Linked DNA regions of Elephas maximus indicus. The protein of the gene in region 4 purifies or fractionates together with the protein of the main gene of each other region. This does not show direct contact. Links are inferred from orthologs where the notes say so. Each region holds a gene or a part of one and is shown on either strand. Other genes may lie near its edges. The genes, in order: PPP6R2, WDR62, PPP6C and AURKA.

Region 1 (7,237 bases), on a different chromosome or scaffold from region 4:
CAAGGCATCAGCTCCAAGGGAAGGCTTTCTCTCTCTGTTGGCTCTGGAGGAAGGTCCTTGTCCTCAATCTTCCCATGGTCAAGGAGCTTCTCAGGTGCAGGGACCCCGTGTCCAAAGGACATGCTCTACTCCCAGTGCTGCTTTCTTGGTAGTATGAGGTCCCCAACTCTCTGCTAGCTTCCCTTTCCTCTTATCTCTTTAGAGGTAAAAGGTGGTGCAGACCACACCTCAGGGAAACTCCCTTTACCTTGGATCAGGGAGGTGACGTAGGTAAGGGTGGTGTTACAATCCCACCCTAATCATTTTAACAGAAAATTACAATCACAAAATGGAGGACAACCACACAATACTGGGAATTATGGACTAACCAAGTTGATACACACATTTTTGGGGGGACATAATTTAATCCATGACTTCCTATAAGATAAAAGGTGGTGCAAGCCACAACCCAGGGAAACTCCCTTTACATTGGATCAGTGATGTGACCTCCGTGAGCGTATTACATCCCACCCTTACCCTCTTTAACCTAACCTAATCTCGCCTCATTAACCACAGAAAGAGATTAGGATTTACAACACATAGGAAAATTACATCAATCACAACATGGAGGACAACCACACGATACTGGGAGTCATGGTCTAGCCAAGTTGACATGTATTTTTGGGGGACACAATTCAGTCCGTGACACTCATGTATGATGTTGTTGATGTCATCCCACAACTTGTCTGGGTCTTTGGTCATTAGTGTTCAATGCGTCAAATCTATTCTTGAGATGGTCTCTAAGTTCAGGTGGGATATTCTCAAGGTCGTACTTTGGCTCTCATGGACTTGTTTTAATTTTCTTCAGCTTCAACCTGAATTTGCATCTGTTTTGCAGTGGGCCCCTGGCCTTGTTGTGATTGATGATATTGAGCTTCTCCGCTGTCTCTTTGCACAGATTTAGTCCATGTGATTCCTGTCTATTCCTTCTGGGAAGTCTATGTGTATAATCACCATTTATGTTGTTTAAAAAAGGTATTTGCAATGAATAAGTCGCTGGTCTTGCAAAATTCTATCACGGGATCTCCAGTGTCATTTCCATCACTAAGGTCATATTTTCCAACTACTGATCCTTTTTCCTTGCTTCCACCTTTTGCATTCCAATCACTAGTAATTATCAATGCATCTTGGTTGCGTGTTTGATCAATTAAGACTGCAAAAGTTGATAAAAACCTTCAATTCATCTTTGGCATTAGTTTTTGGTGTATAAATTTGAAAAATAGTCATATTCATTGGTCTGCCTTGTAGGCATATGGATATTATCCTGTGACATGACTGTACTTCAGAATACATCTTGAAATGTTCTTTTTGATGGTGACAGTGATGGCATTGCTCTTCAATTTGTCATTCCCAGCATAGTAGACCAGATGACTGTCTGATTCAAAATGGTCAATCCGTCCATTGTAGCTCACCAATGTTTACATCAATCTTCAGCACTGCATCTCATTTTTAAGGACTTCTAGTTTTCCTTGATTCCTAGTTCATACATTCCACATTCTGACCATTAATGGATATTTGCAGCTGTTTCTTCTCATTTTGAGTTGTGCCACCTCAGCAAATGAATGTCTCAAAAGCTTGACCCCATCCATGTCATTAAGGTGAACTCTGCTTTTGAGGATGGAGCCCTGGCGGCACAGTGCTTATAAGCTCAGGCTGTTAATCAAAAGGTCAGCATTTAGAAATCACCAGCTGCTCCGTGGTAACCCTATAGGGCCATTCTACTCTGTCCTATATGGGTGTGTTGAGTCGGATTTTACCCTATGGCAACAGGTTTGGTTTGTCTTTTCTACTTTCAGGAGGCTACTCCTTCCCAGTCGTATTTTCAGTGTCTTCCAATCTGAGGGGCTTTTCTTCCAGCACTATACCAGACAACGTTCTGCTGCTATCCATAAAGTTTTCACTGGACAAGTTTTTAAGAAGTAGACCACCAGGTCCTTTTTCCTAGTCTGAGTCTGGAAGCTCCACTGAAACCTGTCCACCATGGGTGACCCTGCTAGATTTGAAATACCGGTGGCGTAGCTTCCAGCATCACAGCAACATGCAAGCCACCACAGTGTTATAAACCACCGAAGGGGTTGCCGAGGGAAGATACTGGCCACGGGGTGCTTGCTGCTGGCCACTGTGAACTGCAGGAGCTGGGTGCTGGAGAAGCTGCACACAAGGCACGAGCAAGGCACTGGGGGGGCCATGAATGAGGCTTTAAAGCTTATCATAATGGCAGCTGGCAAAGGAAAACTATTTGAAGGGCTCAGATCCATTCACGGAGCAGGCAATGAGACTGATGAATTTGGAGCAGAGAGGAACTAAATTGGTGACTGGCATAGTGTTTACATATTTGAGTGCTTCTATTTTTCCAGCATTTTTCCATAGTTCATGCTGAAACCTGAAATAACAATTTCAATTTTAGAGATTTGATGTTGTTGTTGGTTGCCCTTGAGTCAGCTCTGACCTGTGGTGACTTCATGCATAACAGAAAGATTTGCGGCCCGGTCCTACAACATCTTCATGATTGTTGGTGCGTTTGAGTCCACTGTTGCGGCTGTCACGTGAATTCATTTCATTGAGAGTTTCCCTCATTTTCGTTGACCTTCTACCTTAGTAAATATAATGTCCTTTTCTAGGTATTGGTCCTTCCTGATGATGTGTTCAAAGTAAGCAAGGTAAAGTCTTGCCATCCTCGCCTCTAAAGAGAATTCTGGTTGTATATCTTCTAAAACTGAAGCCTAGTGTGACTGAATTTAACAATTCCAACACATGTCAAATGGGCAGTCAAGCATTCTGTGGAGCACCTGGAAAAAATGCACCAGGTGACTGCCTGCTCAGGTGCCCCCAGTCCAGTTAGGAGACAGCATGTAAAGACGGATCTCTGCATGAGGCATGAGGGGACAGACTGCCATTCATTCCTGCTCTGGCTGTGGGGACACCAGGTGCACATGGCATTCAGGAGACACCCAGCTGCCCCGGTGAGGTTGGTTTTCAGCCAGAGAAGCTCCCCCAGAGTATAAACCAAAACGAAACCCACTGCTATTGAGTCGATTCCAACTCATAGCAACCCTACAGAACACAGTAGAACTGCCCCAAAGAGTTTCCAGGGAGCACCTGGTGGATGTGAACTGCTGACCTTGTGGTTAGCAGCCAGAGCGCTTAGCCACTATACCACCAGGGTTCGACCCCCCCCCACCCCATCAAGGTATAGGAGAACAGTGACCTTCCTGGAACACATTAGGCAACCCCCTCCCCCAAGTCTGTTTTGAAGGGTAGTGCAGATGCCCCTGGGTGGAGTGAAGAATGGCTGAAATGAAGTTGATGGGCGATTTGGAGAAGTCCAGGGATTCACACTCAGCAGCCAATATCTAGGTGGGAGGTCAGACCTTCCCCGGGCAAGTAAGAGAAACTTCCCCAGGGTATTAACCAAAACCAAACCCACTGCCATGGAGCTGATTCTGACTCATGGCGACCCTACTACAGGACAGAGTAGAACTGCCCCATAGGGTTTCCAAGGAGCACCTGGTGGATTCGAAATACCAACCTTTTGGTTAGCAGCCGTAGCTCTTAACCACTACGCCACCGGGGGTTTCCATAGTATCTCACAGCAAGAATTAATTATGCTTCTATAACAAAATGTAGCCAATGCTTCAGGGAGCAAGGTAAGAGCAAGAAGCTGCACCCCAACCCACCGTGCTCCGACGCCGCGGACACGGATGTCGTTGCACGAGAGAGCTGGGCGGGCTGCGTTTTACCCCCGTCGCGGACACCCTTCCGAGGCCGGCATTCCGACACACCCAAGCCTTCGTGCTCCTGCCCAGGCTTGCGCTGTACCTCATTTAGCGCCCCTCGGAAAGCTTCTGGAGCGGTCGGGCGCCGGGCGTGCGGAGGAGGCTTCCCGGGTGCAGCGAAGCCCCCTCCCGCCCGCGGGCCTCGGGGGTGCGCTCGGGCCCCGCCCACTGCGCCGGCGTGGCGTCCGAGGCCCCGCCCTCAGCCCCGCCCTCAGCCCCGCCCCGACCGCGCTTGTCTCCGCCCTCAGGCCCCGTCCCACGACTTCGAGCGCGCGCGTCTCCTCCCGCGGGCCCCGCCCCGACTGCGCAACGCCCGCAGGCCCCGCCCCTCAGTCCCGCCCCGCCCTCAGCCCCTCCCCTGCCGCGCGCGTCTCCGCCCGCAGGCCCCGCCCCCGGCGCGAGCGCGCCCAGCGCCGCCGCCGCCGTTGCCGCCATTTTGGAGCGACCGAGCGCCGCCCGCGGCCCAAGCCGGTTCCGAGGCGGTCCCGAGCCGCTGGCCGGCCGCGCCGTGTCCGTAGGCGCCCCGCCCGGCCGGGCCCATGCGCGTGCAGCCCGCCCGAGGTCGCCCGGGCTTCGCCTCCGCCAGCGCCCTGGCCTCCCCCAGGCCTCTGAGGAGCCGCCGAGACGCCCGACTCGGCGGAGCCGGTGAGTGCGCCCGCCCGCGCGGCTTCCTCAGACCCGGCCCGCGGGCCGGCGGGGGGCGGGGCTCCGGGTCGGCGTCCCCACCCGCTGTCAGGCCCCGTCGGTGCGTCAGTGTCGCTCTCCGTCAGTGTCCCACGTCATTCCCCCGCCTGCCAGTGCCCCCCGCGTCAGTCAGCGCCCCCGTGTCTGCTCCTCCTACCTGCCGGTGCCCCCCCGTCAGTGCCCCCCGCCTGCCAGTGCCCCCCGCGTCAGTCAGCACCCCCGTGTCTGCTCCTGCTACCTGCCAGTGCCCCCCGCCTGCCAGTGCCCCCACCTGCCAGTGCCCCCCGCCTGCCAGTGCCCCCCGCGTCAGTCAGCACCCCCGTGTCTGCTCCTGCTACCTGCCAGTGCCCCCCATGTCGGTGCCCCCACGTCATTCCCCCGCCTGCCAGTGCCCCCACCTGCCAGTGCCCCCTGCGTCAGTCAGCGCCCCCGTGTCTGCTCCTACCTGCCGGTGCCCCCCATGTCAGTGCCCCCACGTCATTCCCCCGCCTGCCAGTGCCCCCCGCCTGCCAGTGCCCCCCGCCTGCCAGTGCCCCCCGCGTCAGCCAGTGCCCCCACGTCTGCTCCTCCTACCTGCCAGTGCCCCCCGCCTGTCAGTGCCCCCACGTCATTCCCCCGCCTGCCAGTGCCCCCCGCGTCAGTCAGCGCCCCCGTGTCTGCTCTTCCTACCTGCCAGTGCCCCCACCTGCCAGTGCCCCCCGCGTCAGCCAGTGCCCCCCGCGTCAGTCAGTGCCCCCATGTCTGCTCCTCCTACCTGCCAGTGCCCCCCGCCTGCCAGTGCCCCCCGCGTCAGCACCCCCGTGTCTGCTCCTGCTACCTGCCAGTGCCCCCCATGTCAGTGCCCCCACGTCATTCCCCCACCTGCCAGTGCCCCCTGCGTCAGCCAGTGCCCCCCGCGTCAGCCAGTGCCCCCATGTCTGCTCCTCCTACCTGCCAGTGCCCCCCGCCTGTCAGTGCCCCCACATCAGTCCCCCGCCTGCCAGTGCCCCCACCTGCCAGTGCCCCCCGCGTCAGCCAATGCCCCCATGTCTGCTCCTCCTACCTGCCGGTGCCCCCCATGTCAGTGCCCCCACGTCATTCCCCCACCTGCCAGTGCCCCCCGTGTCAGCCAGTGCCCCCACGTCTGCTCCTCCTACCTGCCAGTGCCCCCCGCCTGCCAGTGCCCCCGCCTGCCAGTGCCCCCACCTGCCAGTGCCCCCCGTGTCAGCCAGTGCCCCCACGTCTGCTCCTCCTACCTGCCAGTGCCCCCCGCCTGCCAGTGCCCACTGCCTGCCAGTGCCCACCACATCAGTCAGTGCCCCCCACATCAGTCAGTGCCCCCGTGTCTGTTCCTCCTACCTGCCAGTGCCCCACGTCAGTGCCCCCTGCGTCAGTGCCCCCGTGTCTGCTCCTCCTACCTGCCAGTGCCCCCCGCCTGCCAGTGCCCCCCGCGTCAGTGCCTCCCGTGTCAGTGCCCCCGTGTCTGCTTCTCCTACCTGCCAGTGCCTCCCGTGTCAGTGCCCCCACGTCTGCTCCTCCTACCTGCCAGTGCCCCCCACCTGCCAGTGCCCCCCGCCTGCCAGTGCCTCCCGTGTCAGTGCCCCCGTGTCTGCTTCTCCTACCTGCCAGTGCCCCCCGCCTGCCAGTGCCTCCCGCGTCAGTGCCCCCATGTCTGCTTCTCCTACCTGCCAGTGCCCCCCCGTCAGCACCCCCCATGACAGTGCCCCCATGTCTGCTCCTCCTACCTGCCAGTGCCCCCCGCCTGCCAGTGCCCCCCGCATCAGTGCCTCCCGCGTCAGTGCCCCCATGTCTGCTTCTCCTACCTGCCAGTGACCCCCGCGTCAGTGCCCCTGGCGTCAGTGCCCCCATGTCTGCTCCTCCTACCTGCCAGTGACACCCGCGTCAGTGTCCCCAGCGTCAGTGCCCCCACATCCATTTTTCCTGCCACTGCCCCCCACGTTAGTGCCCCCACGTCCATTCCTATGTGCCAGTGCCCCCCATGTCAGTGCCCCCACGTCATTCCCCCGCCTAGCAGTGCCCCCCACATCAGTGCCCCCACATCCATTCCTTGTACCTGCCAGTGCCTACCACATCAGTGCCCCCACATCCATTCCTTCTACCTGCTAGTGCCCCCCATGTCAGTGCCCCCATGTCATTCCCCTGTCTGCCAGTGCCCCCCACATCAGTGCTCCCACATTCTTTCCTTCTACCTGCCAGTGCCCCCCATGTCAGTGCCCCCACGTCATTCCTGTCTGCCAGTGCCCCCCACATCAGTGCCCCCACGTCCATTCCTTCTACCTGCCAGTGTCCCCATGTCCAGGCCTCCCGCCTGTCAGCGTCCTACACTTCAGTGCTCCCCACCTGTCAGTGCCCATCCACGTCCACGCTTCCCCCACGTCAGTGCTTCCGCATTGGTGCCCCCACATCATTGTCCCCCACAACATCTGTACCCCCTGCCTGTCCCTGCCTCCCCACGTCAGTGCCCCCCCCACGTCAGTGCCACCCGACCTCAGTGCTTTCTGCCTGTCAGTGTTCTCCACATCGGTGCCCTCTGCCTGTGCTCCCGCGTCATTGCCCCCATGTCTCTGCCTCCTGCCTCTCACTTCCCCCACCTCAGTGCCTCCTGCCTGTCAGGGCCCCCCACATTAGTGCCTCCATATCTGGGCCCCCCACCTGTCAGTGCCGCCCCACATCAGTGCCCCCATATCTGCGCCCCCCTTCTGTCAGTGCCCACCACATCAGTGTCCCCTGCCCTGTCA
Region 2 (7,643 bases), on a different chromosome or scaffold from region 4:
AACCCATTGCTGTCAAGTTGGTTCTGACTCATAGTGGCCCTACAGGACAGAGTAGAACTGCCCCATAGGACTTCCAAGGAGTGGCTGGTGGATTTGAACTGCTGACCTTTTGGTTACAGCCAAGCTCTCAACCACTGAGCTTCCAGGGCTCCTAGGATAACAATAGCTAGCATATACTGAGCACTTACCAGCAGTCAGACACTGCTCGAATACCATAACTGTATTAATTCAACAAACATAATAATCCTGTGATCCAGTCACTATCATTAGACCATCCCCATCTGAAACAGAGGCCCAGTGAGTAACTTCAGCCCAGTCACCCATTCAGCCGGGCAACAGCACTCTCATGGTTTTCTCTGTCAGTCAGCATTACTGGACGGACTGTCATTTTGGACTAAATCTTTTACAAACCAGAGGGATTCTGTGCTGCCAAACAAGAAAGATAAACGGCATCTGTTACTCAACACACACAAGGACGTAACGGTAGAAGCTGACAATAACAGTACCTGCAATGTGCCGGGCTCTGTTCTAAGTGCTTAAGATGGAACAGCTCTTTTAATCCCTGCAAATGCCCTGAGAGAGTGCAGTCATCTTATTATCCCCATGTTACAAATGCAGGAATGGAGGCGCAGAAAAGTTCCTAACTTGACAGAAAGCGCAGGATTAGATCCTCAGCCCAGGCGTCCGAGTCCAGGGCTTGCACTCTCACCCGCTCTGCTAGCCCGCCTCTCGGAAGTCGTTGCTGCTGCTCCCCTACAGTCACATGCAGCTTAGGCGCTCTCAAGGCACTTCCAGGAACTGATAAGCTAAGGGCTATGAAGAGCAGGGTGAAGGATGAGAGATTAAGGGGGGTGTCTGCTCAGACTGGGGTTCAGGAAGGCCTCTCAGGGTAGTACCTAATACTTTCATATGGATGGAATAAGTACCTAACTACTTTCATATGGATGAAAGACTTAAGCCTCCACAACAATCCAAGGAAGAAGGTAGTATTATCACCTCCATTTTACAGATGAGAACACTGAGGCCCAGGGTCCCACACCTGGGAGTGGCGAGGTGAGGACACAAACCCAGACAGTACAGCTCCACAGGCTGACACTTGAGGAATGAGAAGGAGGCAGCCAGGTATGCTGCAGCAAAAAGCCCAGGCAGAGGACGGACCAAACACAAAGGCTACGAGTCAGAAAAGAGCGTGGAGCCTCAGGGAGGCAGAAAGAAGACTGGCAGTGTGGCTGGACCTTGGTGAGGGAGGCCAGGGAAGCTGCAACCAGAGAGGTGTGCAGGGGGCCACTTGCCCTGGCTTTGCAGGCAGGAATAGGGGATACATTCAGAGTGCAGCAGGAAGCCACTGAGAAGGAATGAGACTCACCAACGGCTACCACCAAGTCCCTGGGGACACAAGCAGTTAAGTGCTCAACTATTAACCGAAGGTTGGAAGTTCCAACCCACCCAGAGGCGCCTTGGAAGAAAGGCCTGGCAATCTGCCGCCGAAAGGTCACAGCCACACTACGGAGCACAGTTCTACTCCGAAACAAATGGGGTCTCCACGAGTTGGAACTGACTGCACAGCAGCTGTTGTGTGTTGTTTTGATCCACCCTTTATCCGATGCCATGCACTGTGCTAAGCAGGTCACAGTCCTCGTTTCACTTCCTCTCCCTACCACACCAAGGTACGGTTTTTATTACCACCATTTTACAAAAACACTTTGTAGCTAGAGGAGTTGGAAGATAATTTTAAAAACTGATGCCACACTAAAGGAACTCCTACTTACTACCCGACTTAAGGAACCACTTTGCTGTACTCCCTCCCTCTGGAGCCAGTACTGCTGAGGTTTTACAAATATTACTCACATTTTCCTCATAGTTTTGAGCGGCAATATGGAATAAGAATCCCACCTTGGTAAAGAAAAGGAAGGAAGAAGCAGGGAGTGAGAGAAGGCTGAACAGAGCTGAGAAAGAATTAGGATTGGTAGGATTCTGGCTGAATCCTACTTTAAAAAAAAAAAAAAGGACCATTTCTCGCCCCGGAGTGGATTCTGATTCATGAGAGCCTCACTGTGTCAGGACAGAACTGTGCTCCACAGCGTTTTCAATGCCCGATATTCCAGAAGGCTATCCCCCTGGCTTAACCTCCAACCTCTGACCTTCTGGTCAGCAGCCGGGCAATTATCAGGTTGCACCACCCAGGGACTCTGAACCATGGCAAAAAACCAGCTGCCGTTGAGTCAATTCCGACTCCTAGCGACGCTGTAGGACAGAAAAGAACGGCCCCATAGGGCTTCTAAGGAGCGCCTGGTGGATTCGAACTGCTGACCTTTTGGTTAGCAGCCTGACCCTGAACCACTGCGCCACCAGCGTTCCCTGAACCCTGTTAGAGACCCCGAAGACTCAGCGGGGCGGGGCCCACAAAAGTGCAAGAGGAAACGTCTAAAGGTGATTGAGTGAGCTTAAGGGAGGCTGGGGAAGCCTACTCTAGGAGGCCATTGTCAGAACCCAGAAGGCACGCGAGGCGGCACCAGGCAGGAAGCCAACAACGTCCCAAGGGCTGGGGGTGGGATCAGGGGCTGAGAGGTGGGGCTAGGAATGATGGGCAGGACCCGGGGGGAGGAGACAGCAAGGCGGGCGGGGCCTCGCCTGGGGAGGCGGGGCTTAGGGAGGGCGGGGCCAGGGAGCAGCCGGAGGGGAAGAGCCCGGGCTGGTGGGCGGGGCCCAACGGCTGAGGGCGGGACCAGGGGCGGGACCAGGGGCGGCCCAGGGAAGCCGGCAACCGGGATGGGTAGGGCAAGTAGTTTCTCACCCGGCTCTGCACCGTGTCCTCCGGCGCCGCCGTGAGTCGTGTCCGCCGCCGGAGGCAGAGCGGTGGGGCGGGGGGCGGGGAGGGCTGGCCTCTCCTCGCCGGAACCCCCGCGGTGACAGACGACAGTTTCTCGACCGCGTCGTTCCGCGCGTAGCCTCCGGGGCCCAAGGCCGCCATCGTCGCAGCGGGGTCGGGCGACCGTTACGCGCATCAACCTCCACTGCCGGCAAGACCCACTCGAACGGCGAAGGGCGCGGGAAATCCGGCGCCGCCGCCTATTGGACGCGGCGGGCCGCCGGTCTGGCCAATCGCAGGGCTGCCGGGCGGCACTTGTGACCAATGAGGGCTAGGAGGCGGGGCGGAGTCCCCAGCGCGGGGGAGCCTCAGCTAAGGGTACCGCCTTTGATAGGAAGGACCTGAGTTCGAGCCTACTTGTTGCTCTGATCGAACGTGCTGGTGCTTTTCATCCAGTCTGCGTTTGTCTCATTCACTGGCCATACATGTTTCACTTTACGAGGTAAGGCTATGACCGCCTCACCTCGCTTTTCACGGCCACCCAGGTTGACTAACCGCGCCTTTGTCAGCCACCGGAAGTAGGCGCAGGGTGGAGCCGGAAGAGATTGGCGGCCAAGCCACTCGGTTGGCGCAAGCTCAGAAACGCCGTGACGACACCGGAAGCCGGCTTTACGGAGACGTGCGTGGTTTTCCCCGTTCGCGACGCGACGAGGACGTAGCCGTGGCGACGCGTCGGGGCGCGTAGCACGCAGGCGTCGCCTTCCCTGCTCCTGCGCTGACAGGACGCGCGGGCCGTCACGTGAGGCAGGCGAGAGGCGCGCGAGCGGGCGGGTTCCGGGCTGCCGACCCGGCTAAACGCCGCGACGCTGCATCGCCCTGCCCCGGTGCTGCCGGGCTCCGAACTGCTCCGGCGCCGCGAGCCATGCGAGCTTCCGCGGGTGAGCGCCAGCGCGGGGCGGGCCTTGCGGGGACGAGGCGGGCCACCGGGTCCCCCTCGAGAGTGTCATCCGGGAGTAGGGCTTAGCAAGGTGGAGAGACGCTGTTCCCGGCGGCGAGGACCGCACGTGCCGAGGTGCAGATGCGGGATAAGCAGGAGTAGACGATAAACTAGGTAGTGAATGGAGCGAGCGAAGGCAAAGGGCGGTAAGGCATGTAGGGAAATGAGAGGTTGGTCCCGGCTCTTCTATGGAACTGTCCACTCGCCATCGCGATGAGTTCGAAGTGTCTCACACTTAAAACTGAGCTCCTGACCTTGTCTCCCCAACCCTTCCATAGCTTTCCCTATCACAGTTAATAGCTTACTCCATCCTTTCAGCCACGCAGACTGGAGTCATCTTAACGTTTGTCTTTTCTCACGTTTGAAAAAATAAAAGTTAGTGTGTTGTTGTTAGGTGCCCTCGAGTGGGTTTCGACTCATAGGGACCCGATGTACAACAGAATGAAACACTGCCCAGTCCTGAGCCATCCTCACAATCATTAGGTTTGAGCCCGCTGTTGCACTCACTATGTCAGTCCATCTCATTGAGGGTCTTCTAGTTTTTCGATGGCCCTCTAATTTACCAAGCAGGTTGTCGTTCTCCAGGGACTGATCTCTCCTGATAACATGTCCAAAGTATGTGAGAGGTAGTCTAGCCATCCTTGCATCTAAGAAGCATTCTGGCTGTATTTCTTCCAAGGCAGATTTGTTCGTTCTTTTGGCAATTCGTGGTATATGCAATATTCTTCACCAGCACCGTAATCCAGAGGTGTCAGTTCTTCTTTGGTCTTCCTTATTCATTGTCCAACTTTCGCATGTATGTGAGGCGATTGAAAACACCATGGCATGGATCAGGCACACCTTAGTCTTCAAGGTGACATCTTTGCTTTTTAACACTTTAAAGAGGTCTTTTGCAGCAGATTTGCCCAATGCAGTGCGTCATTTGATTTCTTGACTGCTGCTTCCATGGGTGTTGATCGTGGGTCCAAGAAGAATGGGGCATCAGGATTGGAGAAAGACTTCCTAACAACTTGCGATAAGCAGATGCCACAACCTTGCTTGCTGAAAGTGAAGAGGACTTGAAACACTTAAGGATGAAAAATTAGCATGGGCTATTAAAAAAAAAAAAATTGCCCTCCCATTTATTGGGTTGGAATAACAGACACGGAAAAAGCCAGTGACGAAATTAATAGGAAAAAATATTTCTTCCAGGGACATGCTGCCTCTGTAAATGACACAGCTCCCTTTCTCTGAGTGACTACTGCTTTATTCCAAAACCAGAAACTAAAGCTGTTGTCATCAAGTCCATTCCAACTCATAGCGACCCTGTAGGACAAAGTAGAACTGCCCCATAGGGTCTCCAAGGAGCGGCTGGTGAATTCAAACTGCCAACCTTTTGGTTAGCAGCTGAGGTCTTAACCACTGCACCACCAGGGCTCCACTGCTTTATTACTCGCTGAGAAATTTTGTTCTCTAAAATCATGGACTATTACAAACTTTGCTGTTTGAAATTATATCCGTAAAAATAAAACATCTCACTTTTACCTGGAGGGTCTAAGTCACTTAGACAAAGAGAAGCAGTCTCTATTTACAGTCTAGGTTCAGAGCTTCAGATAGGGGGTTTCTGGACACAGTAGTCCACATCTGCCTTTACTGCCCCCAGGGAGACAGGGCCCTGGGCCCCCTTCTCAATCCAGACCTGACGTTGGTCCCTTCACACACAATCCTGCTTTACTCCAAACCTGTTCAGATACCGCTTCATTTATGCGTCACCCTGCTCTCAAAGCCAATGACTCTCTCGTTTCCTTTGTTTGGTGTGCAGTCTCCCTCATCGCCGTGGTAAATAAAGCTGACTTTGTGGGACTGTGGGTTTATATTTGTGGTCTAAGGCTGTTTGGGCTAGGGCACATTTTTCTCATTCAGTCCATAAGGAAATCGTGTTGGCTCTACCTTTAAAATCAACCCAAAATTTGACCATTTCTAACCTCCTCCTCTGCCCCAACCTTGGTTTTGGTCATTAGCACCTGTAACTGGGCTATTTTAGTAGCCTCCTCACTGGTCTCCCTGCTTTCCACAGCCTGTTCCCCACAGGCAGCCAGGGGACCTGTGTTAACACCTGAGTCAGGTGAGGACCCTCCTTATCTCAGAACCCTTCCACAGCTCCCATCTCACTCCATAAAAGACAAAAAGATAAGGCTGGAACAGGCAGAAAGCAGGCCCACAAAGCCCTGCAGGAGCAGGTTCCCCAATACCGGTGTGACCTCATCTTCTCCCCTCTTCTGCCCCTCACTGTGCCCCAACCATTCCCTAGAATGGCAGGCACGTCACTGCCCCAGGGCATTTGCGTATGCTGTTCCCTCTGCATGAAAAGTTCTTACTTTTCTATCACCTCAGCGAGGCCTTCTGTGACCATTGACAACCACTCTATGTGAAATTGAAGTGGGCAGTCATGAAAGGGTTATTAAGGGTTATTAACCATCTCATAATAGTTGTTTTTCAGAAAAGTCTACTTTCGCTGCATTTTTCTTACAACTTTTACAGCATTTCACCATGATTGGTTGATTCCCCAGGTTTCTTCTTTTCTGCTAGCAGGAGGCAGAGGTGTAGGCACACTAACTCCCAATCTACCTCCTGTATCACCTTCCAGGGGTGGCAGTAGTGAGCCGTCACCATTTTTTTTTTAGGGCTGTGTGCAGTATTTTTAGAGCTACATGCAAAAACCCATTCACTAAAGTTATGCGGATTGTGCGCATCACAAGACTGAAGGTCCTCCTCTCACTGTTCATGCATATGTATGTAACTCCCTATAAAAGGAGCAGATCTGTCCTGGTTCAGGGAGCTGGCAGCCTTGGGTCACGAGACCATGCCTGCCTCCCAGTTCGCAAACTGTGAATAAACCCTTCTGTTCTTCCAGCCCTGTGCCTGGCTGACTTCAGTTCGCTGGTCTGCTTGACAAGAATCTATTAGTTGACAGTTTCATATGGCACCCCAGATGGGACTCAGTGGAGACTCCAGCTCAGGGTAAGTTAGGTCCTGAAACCTCCTCCGAAGGGCACCCTCCACCCTTCACTGGGCGGGGAAGACTTTCTGGGCGGCACCAACCCCGGACTGGACAACCCATGAGTCCCCTGTTGGAGAACAGAAACATTCCGACAGCACTGTGAAACAGGTACCTATTTTTAAGTTTCATTTTGGAGTAGCTACTAAGTGGTGGATTGTGTCCTCAGTAACGGGTGTTATTAGGCCTTGTGGTGTTCTCCCTGTGTCCTGGGGCTGAGTCCCCACCTGCATGAGGGCACAGCCCTTGACCCCCACACCCGGAGGACACTTGGGGAGACTGTCGTTTTGTCCTGGGGCTGAGTCCTCACCACACGAGAGCACAGGCCTCCTTTGGGTCTTTTGTCTCGACCCCTGCATGTTTTTGGTCAGGATCTGGATGAGGAATATTGTTTTGTGTCCTGCATCCCCCTCGCCCGCCGCCCCCGCCACCGCCGTTTGTCTGGTGTGCTAGCTAGGGAGACTCAACTGGCTTAAATCCAGGACCCTCTGGGTGCAGGATGGTTTTCTCTCTCTTCTGAGGAGTGTACTGAAACATTCTTTCTAATTTTAGATACTGAGTCTCACATAAGATATCAACTTAGTTGGAGCAAGATACACTCCTTGCAAATATTGGCTCTGGAAGGTGTGGTACTTGAATTTCGCCACCTGAGATTATCAGGGTAACTGAGTTTTGCGCCTCTGTATAGCCAGGGCCTCTCAAACACATCCTTCCCTTGGCTGACTAATTAGAAGGGATAAGATCCATAAACAAGATGGGCACTGGTCAGTCTGTCCCTAAATCATCCCCCTTAGAGTGGA
Region 3 (7,614 bases), on a different chromosome or scaffold from region 4:
GAATCACAGGATCTCTTTGTAGGTTTGATCCAGTACTAGTGATATAACCACTTCCAATTTAGCTAAAGAGAAATCTCAGATCTAGAACATGCTATGCGTTTACTATTTCATTAGTACCTCCAACTTCTAGTCAATCTAAAATTAATACAGGTAAATTTCCATTATTTTCTTTTTTACTAGAACAAATCTTTTCCATTAAGATCATTAAGTGGCCCTCATAACTTCTTTCCCTCCTCTGACAGAATCTTGTATCTTGGCTTTGAAGCCTAAGAAAAGGTGCTCCTGAAATACTTTCTTAGTCAGACTAATTTTGGTTTGCACTTCATGCCAAGAAACAAAAATAAAATCAAATTTCCTTAAATACACCAAGACAAAGATGGAAATCCTCTACTTATATGGAAAAATTAAGGTTCTTTTTCCTCAGTAGTTGCTCAGAAGATTCAAAATTAAAAAAAAAAAAAGTTTATTTATAAACATGCAAGCTAAGTACCAAACCAAAAAAAAAAAAAAAAAAATGAAATTCGTTGCTGTCAATTTTTTTTTTAAAGAAAATGAAATGGCTTACTATTTCCTAAGTGAGAAGAAAAGCTAATGTTTATCAAACTAAGAGGCCTAAAGAAAATCCAACTGATTATTTTTCAAATCATTTTAGTATCCAATTTCAAGTCAATATTAAGACACATTTTCCTAATAAAAGACAACACTTCTTATAGACACAAAGTTTAAAACAGTTCCAGTATGATTAATAAAAAGAAAACAAAATTTCACATCAATTCATTGATATGCAACGATCAACTTCAGCTATGGGATTAACAATACTACCAAAAGAGGTATGGTTAAAAAAAAAAAATTTTTTTTTTTTAGTTTCCCATAAATTGGGTCCCAGTGTTGGTTATATTCTTGTTTCCCAAAAAAGCATATAGCAGAAAGAAGTCACAAAGCTAATATCTGAAGGACTCTGATTAGCATGAAAGCTACACTACTAATATCTGCTTTGTTCTCATTTAAATTAAACAGTCCTATTAAAAAGGGAAAAAATACACAAGAATGACTCCTCTATCATGTTGTTGTTGTTGCCATCGAGCTGGTTTTGACTCATAGTGACCCTATGCACAACAGAACAAAACACTGACTGGTCGTGCAACACTGCCTGGTCCTGCGCCATCCTCACAATCGTTGTTATGCTTAAGTCCCTTGTTGCAGCCACTGTCACTCCATCTCATTGAGGGTCTTCCTCTTTTTTGCTGACCCTCTGTTTTACCAAGTGTGATGTCCTTCTCCAGGGACTGATCCCTCCTGATAACATGTCCAAAGTATGTGAGACATAGTCTTGTCATCCTTGCTTCTAAGGCACATTCTGGTTGTACTTCTTCCAAGACAGATTTCTTCGTGCTTTTGGCGGTCCGTGGTATATGTAGTATTCTTCGCTAACACCACAATTCTATCATATGGCATATATAATTAACATGCCCTGGTGGCCACAGTGGTTAAGAGCTTGACTGCTAACTAAAAGGTAGGCAGTTCGAATCCACCAGCCACTCTTTGGAAACCCTATGGGGCAGTTGTATTCTGTCCTATAGGATTGCTATGAGTCAGAATCAACTCAGACGGCAATGGGTTTGGTTTTCGTAAGTACATTCCCAACAGCACAAGTGACCTTAAACATTTTGCATACTTGTTTGATTGATGTTATGTTAAATATCAATTTTCTGTACCAAGGGAGACAACAGAAGAAAAAGACAGTAATCTCTTCTTTACGATAAAGAATTCAAAAACAGAGATAAATTGCTTTAAACCCATAGCTTAAAGAATAAAAAGAACTCAAACGACCAACAATTTATCTATCCCCTTACCACATAAGAGATCAAAGTTTAGTGAACAAATAAAACAGGTATTAGCACTAACAGGTAAATAACTTCTAGACACCGAAGTATTGGTTTTATTTTAGCAAGCACATAGAAACACTTTTTTAAAAACCAGTACAACAAAGACTTATACTCCTCTACTTTGACATTCATTCCTTTACTCTTACTTACTAGGACTGGGCAGTTAACAAGAACAACTCACCTCCTTTAGAAAACAAAGAAAATGAGATCTTGAGTTAAAAGGAGATTGTGGGCGAATGACTTAAAAGACAGAAAAGCACTTGTATTTACTGAGGTCCTACTACCTCAACTAAGGATAACTCTTAACTTAGCTCAGTAATATACTCATAAACCTAATTCGCATTTGAATTAGTACAACAAAACCAACACTCCTAAACAGCAACTGGAATGGAGGACAACTTGACGTTCCCTCACATCGGTACCAAACCGCTCTGGCCAATCGCCTTCCCACTCTTCAGTAACCTAAACACACCAGGACTGCGTTCCGGGACGCCGGCGGTATCTCCCGTCAAACACCAGTCACCCCGGGCTCCTGTCACCTCTAGTAAAGACGACCCCATCTCGAGAACACTGCCGGCTAGGGCTCGGTTCGGACTCCGGGAAACCCGGGGGTGGAGGTCGGGGGGAACCGTCTTCTAAACAAGGCTGTTAGGGCTCGGAGTCCTGGGGTAGCCCTGGTGCCAGAAGGGGTGACTCTGGGGCAGGAGCCGCGACTTCCCTCGGGATTCCTGCTGAGGGAACCAGGACGGCATTCGAGGGACCTGGGCTCCTGGGCTTTCCGCGTGACGCCAGGTCGAACCGAGCAGCTTTGTACGGCACCGGGCCGTCCACAGCGACGGGACGGGATACCCGGCAGTGTACCGCGGAGGAAGGGCGGGACGGCGGGAGCCCCACTGCCGGAAGGGGCGAGCCCCGCAAGCAGGGCTCCCGCCCTGGCCAGACTCACCTTCAGGTCGTTCTCCGGCAGGTACTTGCACAGTCGCGCTATCTCTACATACTTGTCCAGGTCTAGGGGCGCCATTTTAGAAAAAAGAAGCCGCAAAGGCGGCGGCGGCAGCGGCGACTGTAGCAGCGGCGGCAGCGGCAGAGGCCGAAGCCGGAACTCTTCTACGTCACGTCCGGCCGTGAGAGAGGCGTCTGCGCAGCAACGTTAAAGCTCGACCTGATTCCTCATGCTGCCTGGGCACGGCTCACGCCCTCTCTGGCTGCACGCAGGCTGCAGGACCTTAGAGCCCCCGGCCCGGCGACCGAAAGTGGCCGGGGTTGTAGTTGTCTGCCGCGGGGAATGCTGGGGTTTGTAGTTTGTATTTGTGACCATCTATTCCTCTTTTCTTTCCCGTCTCTCCCTCTAGACTTTCACCTCTGGGTACCCGGCAAGGATTTTCCAATGAAAAACGGCAAAGTAAGCTTCCCTATCCATTTCCTGGTTTCTCATTCCGACCATTCTAAGTACTTGCCTCTCTGTCTTACCAGAACATCTCCAGTTAAAAATTGGGTAAGCTTAGCCATGGTAACCTGTTTGCACCTTTCCGAGGCCTTGTGAAAACCTTGCCTAAACCTGTGGCAGAGATGTCAGGCTCCCAATCTTCCCTTCCTGGAAGAATGGAAAACAAATATTCAAATATTTCTTATGCTAAATGCTTTACAGATGCTGTTATTCCACTGAATCCTCATAATGATTCATAGGAAACAGGAGAGGTTAAGGAACCTTCCCAAAATGGCACAGGGAATACCTGCCAGAGCCGAGATTGAAAAATAGGTCTGCTGGCTTAAACATACTTCAGTGTGAGTCTCAGGAGGGCAGGGACAGATATATACAGAGAGTCACTCATCGCTTAATGTCCACCGTACATTCTGTGGAATAGGACATTATATGATTTAGACATGCAGACACCATTTTATATACTGTCACTCTGTTTTTAAAAACCTTAAAGCCTGGCACTGACTTGGTTTCCTTAAGGATGAAAGCCCATTCAGGCATTTGCTTCCAGAATAAAGAGGTTTTGTCCATAATACAATTTTGCTGGGGCAAATAACCTCCCTGTACTATTAGTTTATCTAAGGTTTCAACAAATTCTTCTGCTGCCTTTGTATCAGCACTCACAGACTCACCATTCACTTTAACACTATGCGGCGAAAACCATTGTCTGAAGCATGTGAACCACCCAGAGCTAGCACTAAACTCAGCATTGTAGTCTGGTCCTGCTTTTTCGTTAAGCATCTCGAACAAACTTTGTACCTTAGCAGTGATCATCAGTGTGCTGGGGGGTTCACTTTTGTGTTTGGTCCTCAATCCATGTCATTAGCAATTTTTCCATATCTGATGTAGATCCCTCTTGCGTTTTCTTTAGCCTTGTAGCTTTCGGTGGAACTGATTCTTTAACAGCTTGAAGAATTTTTTCTATTTGTGAGGATCGTCATGATTGTTGAGAGCAACATGGCTAAATCGTGAGCAAGAGCATTCACTGATTTTCCACCTTAATGTTGTTGTTAAGTAACCTTTTATTTCACTTCCAAATCAATACTTCTCCTTTGCCTCTTACTGCTGCCATTACTAGCACTGGTTTTGTTGCATTTGGGAGCCATGATGCACTGTGTGGTAATATTTTTGAAACAAAATTAAACAGATAACAGTACAACACTCCAGAGATGTGTGATACATGAGATCGGATGCTGCTGCCTACAAGTTGAAGCATACAATGTTATATAATAAAGTTTTTATTGCTAAGTAGGGAAACTTCACATTAAAATGACAATAGGAAGTACAGTACATACATAAGCCATTAACAGGTGTTTACTATGACTATCAAGACATATTGTATGTTATGTATGTACTGTACCATTATACACTTAGCAGAGCAATTGCGTTGTATACAAGAGACATGAGATACATGTGTTATGTACTGGAAGCCATTGCATTCACTACAATGTTCTGTTCTACAATCAGGATTTCTGAACTCTATTATAACCTTATGGGACCGCGGGCATATATATGGTTGAACATTGCCCAAACAGACATTATACGGTTCACGGCTATGTGTATATGTGTGTGTATATAATATATATATGATGCATGACATAGCACATGCTTATATATGTGTGTGTGTGTGTGTGTGTGTGTATATATTTATTTATTTTTTTTTTAATCCCTAGCACCAAGAACAGTAGGGTTGTAGGTGTTTGGGATATTCAGTGAACAAAATAGACAAAGATCCCTACCCTCAACATTTTAGCAGAGGAAAACAGAACATAAACAATAAACATAATAAATAACTATAAAAAAAATGATAAGTACTATAGAGGAGAAACAAACAGGGTAAGGGAGATAGAGTATTGTATTTTTAGAGCCAACAAAGAGATGGGAAGTTAGCCATGCAGCTACTTCGGTGAATTCATAGGAAGAGCTAGTGCAGAAGCCCTAAGACAAGAGTGTATCGAGAGTCTTTGGGAAACAGGAAGTGTGTGCTCGGAGCAAGAGTAGGAGAGAAGATCAGAGGAATGGAGGAAAGGAGAGCATTGATTTTACTTTTAATGGAATGGAAACTATTGCAGGGCTTTGAGCAAAGGAATAACATGATCTAACTTGTTTTTTTAAAGGCTCACTCTGGCTGCTGTATGAAAATGTAGAGAGCAATGGTTACAGCTGAGAGACCAGTTAGAAGACTGTTACATAATACAGTAGTATTCAGTGAGTATTTCTTGTTAAAGTAACCCTGGACTGGATCCTCATGCTCTAAAGTATATTTTTGGTACAATTAGGTAAACTTTAATGAGGTCTCTGCGTGAAGTTCTTTGTATTATTCTTCCAACTGTTCTGTAAATTTGAAGTTGTTTCAAAATAAAATTAATTTTAAAAATAAGTGTTGTTTATAAAGAAAATGTTCTGCATTCTACTTTGGTGAGGAACATCTGGGGTCTTAAAAGCCTGTGAGCAGCCATCTAAGATACTCCACTGGGCTCATCCCTTCGGAGCAAGGGAGAATGAAGAAAACTAAAGACACAGAGAAAGATTAGTCCAAAGGACTAACGGACCACAACTATCATGGCCTCCACCAGCCTGAGCCCAGTACAACTAATGGTGCCCATCTACCACGACTGACTGCTCTGACAGGGATCACAATAGAGGGCCCCAGACAGAGCTGGAGAAAAAATGCAGAACAAATTCTAACTCACAAAAAACGACCAGACTTACTGATCTGAGGGAGACAGGAGAAACCGCAGGAGTGTGGCCCCCGGACAACCTTTTAGCTCAGTAGTGAAGTCGCTCCTGAAGTTCATCCTTCAGCCAAAGATTAAATGGGCCCATAAAACAAAACATTACTAAAGAGGCACACCAGCCCAGGGGCAAGGACTAGAAGGCAGGAGAGGACAGGAAAGCTGGTAATAGGGAACCCAAGGTCAAGAAGGGAGAGTGTTGAGACGTCATGGAGTTGTTAACCAATGTCATAAAACAGTATGTGTACTAACTGTTTAATGAGAAGCTAGTTTGTTCCATAAACCTTCATCTAAAGTTCAAAAAAAAAAAAACTCACTAATTTGGATTAATAGAAATGAAGCTTATACAAGAAATAAATAAATGTTGTTGCAGAATGAATGCTGCCCATAAGCATTCATTTCTTCATTCATAAAACAAATAGTTATATAATGCCCATGATGTGAATAAGACAGCTATGGTCCCTGCCCTTGTGGAGTTTAGAGTTTTCTAGAAGACAAATAATAAGCAAATAAATGAGCAAATATTTCATTGCAAATTATGATTACTGCTAAAAAGGGAAAAAAGGGATATTGCGAGTAAGAAAAATGGAGTAGAAGAGACCGAATTTAGGTTGGCAGTATGGTAGACATAAAGTATACAGACTCTAACACCAAATGGCCTGATTTCAAATCCTGACTCTACCAATTACTGTGTGATTTTGGGCAATGTATTTATCCTCTTTATGCTTTAATTTTCTCAGCTTCAATATAGAGAGGATAATAGTACCAGCCTCTTATGAAGAGACTAGTATTGAGGTTTAGTAGAGTTAATATGTACTTAAAAGTGTTTTGCACAGAGTACAATTTGAGTGTTAGGTCTGAGTATTAGGTGGGAAGGAAGGTCCTTCAGATGAGGTAACATTTAAGACTGAGGAATTTAAGAGAGCTAATATACTAAGAGTTTCTTGGAGAAAAATGTCCCCATTTGGAAATTTTTGTTGCTCCTGTTGTTTGATTTTATTACAGTCCTCTTTGGAGATCTGGCAATTCACTTTTCATCTCTAAACGTCTGGGCAAATAGAGAGATGGATGTGAACATTCTTTATAGACTGTGAAGTGCTTAAAAGGAAAGTGTCACCAGCATCATTGTCTTCCTTTGCTAATGGGTCTGTGAACAGATAGGTAATGAAAGCTGGTGGTATCCCCTTCTAGTGAAAAATAGGTGGCAGTCATCACGTTACCAAACTGGAAGCAAGACGTTCCCTCCTGCTGACCCATCTCACTGAGCAAACCTCATTCCTGACATCCACAATGGAAAGGAAAGAAAAAAGCATCCTCGGGACTGTTGGGTGAGTCCTTGCAAAAAGTGATAGTCACATCTGGTATTGTGGCATGGAGACATTGTGTAGAGCTTGGTGACTAGAATGCATTCTTAGTGTTCCTTGCCCAAAGCTGGGGTTACGGGCTCCTGGTTCTGCCACTTACAAGGCTAAGTCATTTTCCTTTCTCTGGGCTTTGGTTTCCATCACTTTCT
Region 4 (7,826 bases):
TCTCTCAGCATTCTACACGAACGTTACATATGTATTTACTGTGCACCTCTCCCCACTAGAAAGAAAGCTCTGTGACAGCAAGGGCTCAGTCCTACTTTGCTCACTGTTGCACCCCCGGAACCTAGAACAGCACCTGGCACACAGTATGCATCAAATCACTCAATGAGTTTTTTTTACAAAGTACAGTAAGTCCCCAGTTACCAACGTCCGCCTTACGGATAACTCAGACTTATCCTTCAATGTTGGGGAAACTTGCCCTTGCTTTGAAACAAATGAGGAGCCCTGGTGGCACAGTGGTTAAGAGCTAGGCTGCTGACCAAAAGGTCAGCAGTTCAGATCCACCAGCTGCTCCTTGGAAATCCTATGGGGCACTTCTACTCTATCCTATGGGGTCACTATGAGTCGGAACTGACTGGACAGCAACAGATTTAGTGAAACAATTGAACCAGCCCCTGACCTGCAACAAATTCATCACGATCACCTCCATTTGCCACACACACAGCTCTGAATTCACCGAAAGGGCTCCAAGTCTTTTCTTGCGCTAAAGTAAAGCTAAATGAGAACCCTATGCACCTGTTCCAACCTACCTGCAAATTCTTAAAGACACAGTCAGGAATGGGTCTGTTTGTAGCCCCGGGACAGCCTCTACATCAACAAAAAGTTCACAGTAAGCCCACACTGTGAGTCAGGCACTATCACCTATCGAGACTGCAGAAACGTTTCCATATTTGTCTTACCCAGCTGCTCAGTGAATATGATAATGCAACCAGAAAGCACATCCCAAAGCTTTATATTCATTTTATAAATATGCAAACTTCATGATGAAGAGGCCTAAAAAGCCCAGGCTCTTACAGAAAATGGTTAAGTAAAAAATAATAATAAACAAAAAAAGTAACAGGACTTATATGTTTATATTATGCAAACATTAATTTCTAAGACATGCTCTGAGGCTTCCAGTTTCCCTAACAATCACAAGTAGCTGACTAAGGAGATCACAGAGGCCTCAGGACATTTACTCAACAGTCTTCTGACAAAAGCTACAGACATTGGCTCCAATTTATTCTTTCTTTTTCTCCTCATGAAGATGAATGATGAAGAAGCAGAATGGATAAGATTCTGATTCAGAAATTCTGAGGACTCGCCCAGGGAGACTGCTCCTCGGGTGATTCTGATCTAGAACCAGATGCAGGAGGCAGTGACAAGAGGACCTTCATGAGATCCTACAATTCTAACTAGGAAAAGTGTTAGCTTTAACAGCACTCTGGGTTGACGGTCAGGACTTATTTTTTTCCTCCCTCAGCACAGGAGACCTGTGAATGTCTACAAAGATGAAAGTGAGTGGAAAGGAACTGAGTACACTGCTGAAAAGTGTTTAAGTCAAGGAAAAAGGAACATTAAGGAGGGGGCAGAATTGAAAGTCAAGGGCAGTAGCTGCACTGCCTGACTTTTGTTAGAAATGGAGACTCTCAGGGCCAACCCCAGGCTACTAAATAAATCAGATCGTAAATGTTAACATCATCCCCAGATGATACTATGCACTGGTATAGACCACTAGTTCTCACTGAAACATCAGAATCACCTGGAGAGCTTGCTGAAAGTAGACACACCTGGGTCCTATTCCCAAGGGATTCTGATTCATTGGGTATGCAGCAAGGGTCTACATTTTTAACAAACTTGTTGCAATCGAGTTGATTCAGACTCCCAGTGACCTTACAGGACAGAGCAGAACTGCCCCATAGGGTTTCCTGGGCTGTAATCTCTGTGGAAGCAGACTGCCACATCTTTCTCCCGTGGAGTGGCTGGTGGGTTCGAACCACCAAGCTTTCAGTTAGCAGCCGAGCTCTCAATCACCGGGCCACCAGGGCTTCTTACATTTTTAACAAGGGCCCCAGTAATCTCATATAGGTGGTCCAAGGTTTGAGAAACGCTGGCCTGGGAAGGCCTCTGCAGAAGGTTATCATTCATTTCTTTGTCCATTCACTCATCCAGCCAGGATAAGCCCCTTCCCAGGCTATTCTACCTAAAGTTGTTGTTAGCGGCCTTCCAGTCAATTCCTACCCATGGTGACCCCATGTGAGCAGAGCAGAACCGCTCCATAAGGTTTGCGCCACTCAGGACCCTTTATCTAAAGCTGTTGTTGGGTGCCATTTAGCCAATTCCAATTCATAGCAACCCCATGTGACAGAGTAGAACTGTCCCAAAGGGCTTTCTTGGCTGCAATCTTTACAGAACCAGACTGCCGGCCTTTCTCCTGCAGGGCCGCTGGGTGGGTTCCAACCGCCAACCTTTCTTTGGCCGCCAACCTTTCCTAAGCAGCCGAGTAGATCTAAAGTAACCCCCGTTAAACCATGTAACTGTTTCACTTGGTTCAGAACACCCACCACTGTTGGACGTTATCTTGTTAGTTCGTCGTCTGTCTCCTCAACCCAGACAGAAGGTGAACTCCAGGACGGCAGAGACCCCTCCGTATTTTTCTTAACCCAGCTGCTCACTGAATACGAGAATCCCATCAGAAGCACCCGCAACACCACTCAACAACCCCCATCCGCTTCTACGGGAATAAACAACACGCGGCATTTCCAAGGCGCCTCGGTGCCCACCCGCCGAAGGAAACGCGCCTGAAGAGCCCAGGTGGGCACTGTGGACAGGCTGGGAGGGCGACCCTCGCGGAACCTTCCTCTGGGCCCCTCGGCCTCCAGCCCCGCCACCCGCCCTGAGGCCGCCTTCGACGAGCCCCCCTCGTCCCAGGCCTCACCCCTGCCCGCTACACACTGGTCACCTGCCACCTCCGACCAGTGGCCGCCAATCCGCCCAAGATCTTAGCCGTTAGGAAGCAAAGCCTCCTCTTTTTAAATACGAGTTAAACCCTCTAACCCGAAAGTTGATTGGCTTGCGTTGAAGAGAGACTGCCTTCTGATTGGTTAACAAAGGACCGGACCTCGAGTCACATGACAAGGCTGAGATCCGCGCAGGCGCACTCGCTCCGTAAAGTGCCGGAAGTGGTGGCGCAACGGCCCGCCAGACCTGGGGCCGTCCTAGTGCCCGCGGTGCTGTCCGGGATCGGGCATTTTTCTGGGAAACAACAGTTCCCTTGCGTCAGGGCTGCCGCACAAGGAATAAATCCAGGGGAGGTGAACGAGCCTCTGGAACGTGCCAGTAAGTAAGATGGCGAGGAGGGCAGACGAGAGAATGGGGCCGATCGATAGCGCAGCGCTCGGCGCGGCGCCTTGTGCGCCTGCGCAGAGAACGTGCGCGCCGAGCGATCGATTGGGAAGCATTCGCGCCTCCATTTTTCTAAAAGAGAGCGGGGACCGCGAGAGCCGGATCAGCGGGTAAGGGGGTTCCGGGATGCGGGGAGAGTGGCTGTGCGGTCGGTTGGGGCCTGCAAGGGCCCGCGGGCAGGACTGAGGAGAGGCAGGAGGGTCAAGAGTGAGGGGAGAGGCCTGCAGCCTGAGCTCGGTTTTCTGAGTTGCCGGGCTGGGCCAGCACACCCCCTCCTCTTCCTAAAAGGGGACGTCGCGCCCGTCCCCTCCCCGTTCTTAGTTCGCCTTTGCCTTGGGATGGTTGTGGCGCGTACAGTAAGGAGAGTTTGTTCTCGCCCGGGTCTCCCAACTCCGGCATTCCTCGTGTCTCCGGGCCTCAGTGTCCCCACCTGCAAACGGGGGATAGTAAGTAGACTCCTGCTAGCCCGGCTAGTGAACGTACAATGGGAGTTGGGAAGCGGGAGCTCGCTCTGCTTTCTTTTGTTGAGCTCTTTGTGCACCCCATGATACACTGAAGATACGGGTTAAAATAATAGTTAAGTTCTGAGCTCTGGGTGGATTAACCAGCCACACTTAACTTTGGTGGGTTTCCTAACCTCTCTGAGCCCCGTTTCATCGTTGTGTCTCAGTATTGCCTACAGAAGCATAGATGTACATAGATTTGCTTCTGCATACTCTTGAAGTGCTTAGGACGGTGTCCAGTATGTAGGAATGCTCAGTAAATGTTCCTGTTATTATTAACACCCACCAGTATAGTGTGGGGTTAGCACGCAGGCCCTGCCATTAGCAAGCTGTTTGACCCTGGCTGAGTTAGTTAACCTCTCTGGGCCTCAGGTTGGAGCCCTGGTGGCACAGTGGTGAAGAGCTCAGCTGTTGACTAGACGGTCGGCAGTTCAAGTCCACCAGCCACTCCTTGGAAACCTTATGGGGCAGTTCTCTGTCCTTCTAGTTGCTATGAGTCAGAATCAATTTGACAGCAATGGGTTTCATTTTGGTTTGGGCCTCAGGTTGCTTATCTCTAAGTAGGACTAGCTGTGGAGTGAATGAGGTGATGCATGTAAGCTGTTTACACAATGTGTCCTGCATATTGTACTCACATGGAGTTGCCATAGTTGGAATCGACTCAATGGCAACTAACAAGAACGACAAATATCAAATAAATACTAGCCAGGATTATTGTTGTTAAGCTTTTAGGGAACATTACGAAGTTGTGTTTAGGGACAACACGGGCTCTAAAGACACACCCCCAGTGTTCCAGCCCTGATTTCTCCAGGCAATACTTGTGAGAACTTGAGTAACTTATTTTCCTTCACCTGGAAACAAGGCGATTACAAAACCTCCATTATAGGATGCTTTTGAGGATTAAATGAGATAAAACATGGTAAACGTTCAGTTAGTGTTAGCTGTTATTATGATCAGTAACCTCAGTGACTCTCCAGAGGAAGCTATGTAGTTAGAACAGGTGGTTCTCCATCTCTTTCCTGCATACATCTTCTTTTTCAGAATATAGCAATACCAAGTAAATATAACAACACCAAGAGGTCCTGATGTTACCGTTCACTCTGGTTTTTCTTGTCTCTGTTTCTCTCTCTCAGGCTGCAAATCCACAACTTTTCTTTTTTATTGCTATTCCCAGGCATCTGCAGCCTTCTGATTACCTGCCCACACGTTCGTTGGGTCTGTGATTTTTGATAATCAATGTCTTATCTAATTAGGTCCACTGTTACTTTGTGCCATCAAGTCAATTCCAACTCATAGCAACCCTGTAGGGCAGAGTGGGACTGTCCCATAGAGTTTCCTAGGCTGTAATCTTTACAGGATCCAATCACCAGGTCTTTTCTGGTGACTGACAGGTTGGAACCACCGACCCTTTGGTTAGCAGCCTAGCGCTAAACCATTGTGCCACCAGTGCTCCTTTAATAGGACTACTACAGGTCTTTTAAGACTTTGGGAGCACTTAGACACTTGGAAATCAATCTGAATGCACAATCATTCCAGATTTTTTCTTTTCTCTCCCCCATTTTTCCCATATGTTAGTTGGCAATATTTTTTTTAAGTGGTTCATGTTTTGTCTTTCCAGAGCATTCAACTTGTTTTAGTTTTCATTAAAACAATAGCTTTTTGCCCTCATATTTTAATTTATTGTGTAATTATATAATTCAGTAACAAGATTGGTTGCCGTAAAACAGATTTTAGGAACAAGCATGACTGACTTTGGTAAACATACAGCTCAGCTGGTGGAAACAGTAGTCCCTAGACGTTCGAGAAAGTAGCACCTGTCCACAATTTTCAACACCACTCAGTGTTTTGTTAACAGAAGAAATGGAAGTTCCTGGGACAGCAATAAAGGATTAAAATTGTAGGCAAGTGGTTTTGGCAGAATGAGCCCGGGTGGTGCAGCTTGTAGGTGCTTGGCTGCTAATCAAGAGGTTGGCTGTTCAAGCCCACCAGCAGCTTTGCAGGAGGAAAGACCTGGCAATGTGCCCCTGTAAAGATTACAGCCAAGAAACCCTATAGGACACATCTACTCTGTCACATGGAGTCACTGTGTTGGAATTGACTCGATGGCACCCAACAACAGTTTTGTCAGAGAAGGAAAGGGTGAGGGTAAGTTGAAGGGAAATGCTACTCTCGATCTCAGCTGGCATGACTCAAATGCCTTCTGTGCTCAGTGCCCTATGTGCACATCTTGTTAACCTTCAGTGATTTACTGAACAGCTGGGGAACCCGAGCCTCAGGGAAATGAAGTCACTGACCAAAGATGATGCGGCCACTAGAGCTGGATTTCAGCCCCACACGGCTGACCCCAGAGACCTGTGTTGCGTCCGGTGATTTCCTCATGCCTCTGCCCTTCCCCACCCACCCGTGTTCTCTTCTTGCAGCTGGCAGGGAAACCGTCTTCCTCGCCTCCAAGATGTACAGAACCAAAGTGGGCCTGAAGGACCGTCAGCAGCTCTACAAGCTGATCATCAGCCAGCTGCTGTATGATGGCTACATCAGCATTGCCAACGGCCTCATCAACGAAATCAAGCCCCAGTCCGTGTGTGCCCCCTCAGAGCAGCTCCTGCATCTCATCAAACTAGGTAGCCTGTCAGGGAATGCGTAGCTCCGAGACGAGGTTTTGGGTGTTTTCAGGCATCAGAGGTTTTTAAGATGATTATAGTTGAGTTTTAATGCCTACTATGGACCAGGTAAGGAGCCCTGGTGGCGCAGCAGTTAAAGCACTTAGCTGCTAACTGAAAGGTCAGCAGTTCGAACCCACCAGCCACTCTGAGGGAAAAAGACGTGGCAGTTTGTTTGCATAAAGATTACAGCCTTGGAAACCCTATGGGGCAGTTCTGCTTTGTCCTAGAGGGTCGCTGTGAGTCAGAATCGACTCGGCGGCAGCGGGTTCTTTTTTGTTTTGTTTTTGTTTTAAACGTGCCAGGTTTAGTGCTGGATACCAATGGGGTAAGCAAAGTCCAGATCATGAACACTTTAAGCCACTTCCAGCCTCAGGGCCTGAAGGACTTTGATGTGTTATTACTGACTTCCTTCAGGTCTTGGCTCACGTGTCACCTCAGAGTTGTCCTCACCCTCTAAAGTAATCCCATGATCTTCCCCACACTCCCCAGTTACTCCACCACAGCCAACCTGGCTCTTTCCTTCATAAGGGAATCACTGTGTGAAATGTTCTTTATTGTTTGGGTTGTTCCTGCACAAGCCGTCTCTCCTCCTCCTCGCTAAAGTTAGTAACAGTCAGGACCTTGTCCTGTTCAACATGGCATTCTAACGCCCACCTGGCTATAGAAAACGCAATAGAACAGAGTGGCTGAATACATAGTCTTGTCTCAGTTACTGTGCTGGAGTTGAAACTGTATCTGATAGGCAGTGTGTTATAGGCCTAGCTCTGGAAGCAGACGCCAAGGTGGGGTTTGTGTATGAGATGTTTAATAGGGATCAGCACCTAAGCAGGGAAAGGGAGCACGCAGGATTGGGCAGAGGAATAAATCGAATGCAACTCAGGCCCAACAAAGCATCCCCAGTGGAGGGCACTAGAGTGAATGTTGTCCCTGAGTCTGTGTCAGGCCAAGAGAACCAAGCCTGTGTACCTGGCCTCACCCCATCCTAGGATGTGGACTGCACAGGGAAGGTAACCACCGTGGACGAGGTTGTGCCCTGCAGCAATCCCTCCTAGAACAGGAATCTGGGCGGCATGACTACATACGTACTGTACCTGGGGATGTGTTTCTAGCAGAGAGTAAAATGACTGAATCTGCAGCTTAGAGAAATCACTTTAAAGAAGGCAAACTTCAGAGAAGTATCTATAGTGTGAAACAAGCTGTGGTTTATACCCTACAGAACTGTCTTGTCTGCATAAACGGAAACAAAAAGGTCCACAGTGATACACAAAACAGAATATGATCGAAGGGGGTTGGGCAGTCCAGGGGCATCTTCTTTTTTTTCTTTTTTTTTGAGAGTATACCCAGTTTATTTTAAAAATTATTTTAGGAATGATGTGGTGAGTGGGTTGTAGAAGTCTGAGCATGGAGGTCAGGAGACCAGTTAGGAGGTTTTTGCAAT

Evidence for each region.
Region 1: the proteins of AURKA (region 4) and PPP6R2 purify together in Homo sapiens (affinity purification with mass spectrometry; 4 studies listed by BioGRID and IntAct, counting the BioPlex papers as one, with this or other methods). This does not show direct contact. The link is inferred for Elephas maximus indicus from reciprocal best matches to the Homo sapiens genes AURKA and PPP6R2.
Region 2: the proteins of AURKA (region 4) and WDR62 purify together in Homo sapiens (affinity purification with mass spectrometry; 3 studies listed by BioGRID and IntAct, counting the BioPlex papers as one, with this or other methods). This does not show direct contact. The link is inferred for Elephas maximus indicus from reciprocal best matches to the Homo sapiens genes AURKA and WDR62.
Region 3: the proteins of AURKA (region 4) and PPP6C purify together in Homo sapiens (affinity purification with mass spectrometry; 4 studies listed by BioGRID and IntAct, with this or other methods). This does not show direct contact. The link is inferred for Elephas maximus indicus from reciprocal best matches to the Homo sapiens genes AURKA and PPP6C.

What each region holds. Positions count from the first base shown.
Region 1 is NC_064822.1:196,686,368-196,693,604, forward strand, and holds the start of PPP6R2 (serine/threonine-protein phosphatase 6 regulatory subunit 2), read left to right. Parts: upstream 1-4,286; 5' UTR 4,287-4,333; coding exon of another isoform or gene 4,334-6,179; intron 6,180-6,230; coding exon of another isoform or gene 6,231-6,394; intron 6,395-6,737; coding exon of another isoform or gene 6,738-7,022; intron 7,023-7,237. Other genes in the region: basic proline-rich protein-like, read left to right, coding at 3,741-4,286, 4,334-6,179, 6,231-6,394, 6,738-7,022. UniProt on the Homo sapiens protein: Regulatory subunit of protein phosphatase 6 (PP6). May function as a scaffolding PP6 subunit. Involved in the PP6-mediated dephosphorylation of NFKBIE opposing its degradation in response to TNF-alpha.
Region 2 is NC_064829.1:115,160,625-115,168,267, reverse strand, and holds the start of WDR62 (WD repeat-containing protein 62), read right to left. Parts: upstream 3,004-7,643; 5' UTR 2,972-3,003; coding exon 2,795-2,971; intron 1-2,794. UniProt on the Homo sapiens protein: Required for cerebral cortical development. Plays a role in neuronal proliferation and migration.
Region 3 is NC_064827.1:76,190,062-76,197,675, forward strand, and holds the start of PPP6C (serine/threonine-protein phosphatase 6 catalytic subunit), read right to left. Parts: upstream 3,005-7,614; 5' UTR 2,908-3,004; coding exon 2,833-2,907; intron 1-2,832.
Region 4 is NC_064843.1:13,200,755-13,208,580, reverse strand, and holds the start of AURKA (aurora kinase A), read right to left. Parts: upstream 3,017-7,826; 5' UTR 2,939-3,016; intron 2,876-2,938; exon of another isoform or gene 2,756-2,875; intron 2,492-2,755; exon of another isoform or gene 2,382-2,491; intron 612-2,381; exon of another isoform or gene 588-611; intron 1-587. Other genes in the region: CSTF1 (cleavage stimulation factor subunit 1), read left to right, coding at 6,178-6,346. UniProt on the Homo sapiens protein: Mitotic serine/threonine kinase that contributes to the regulation of cell cycle progression.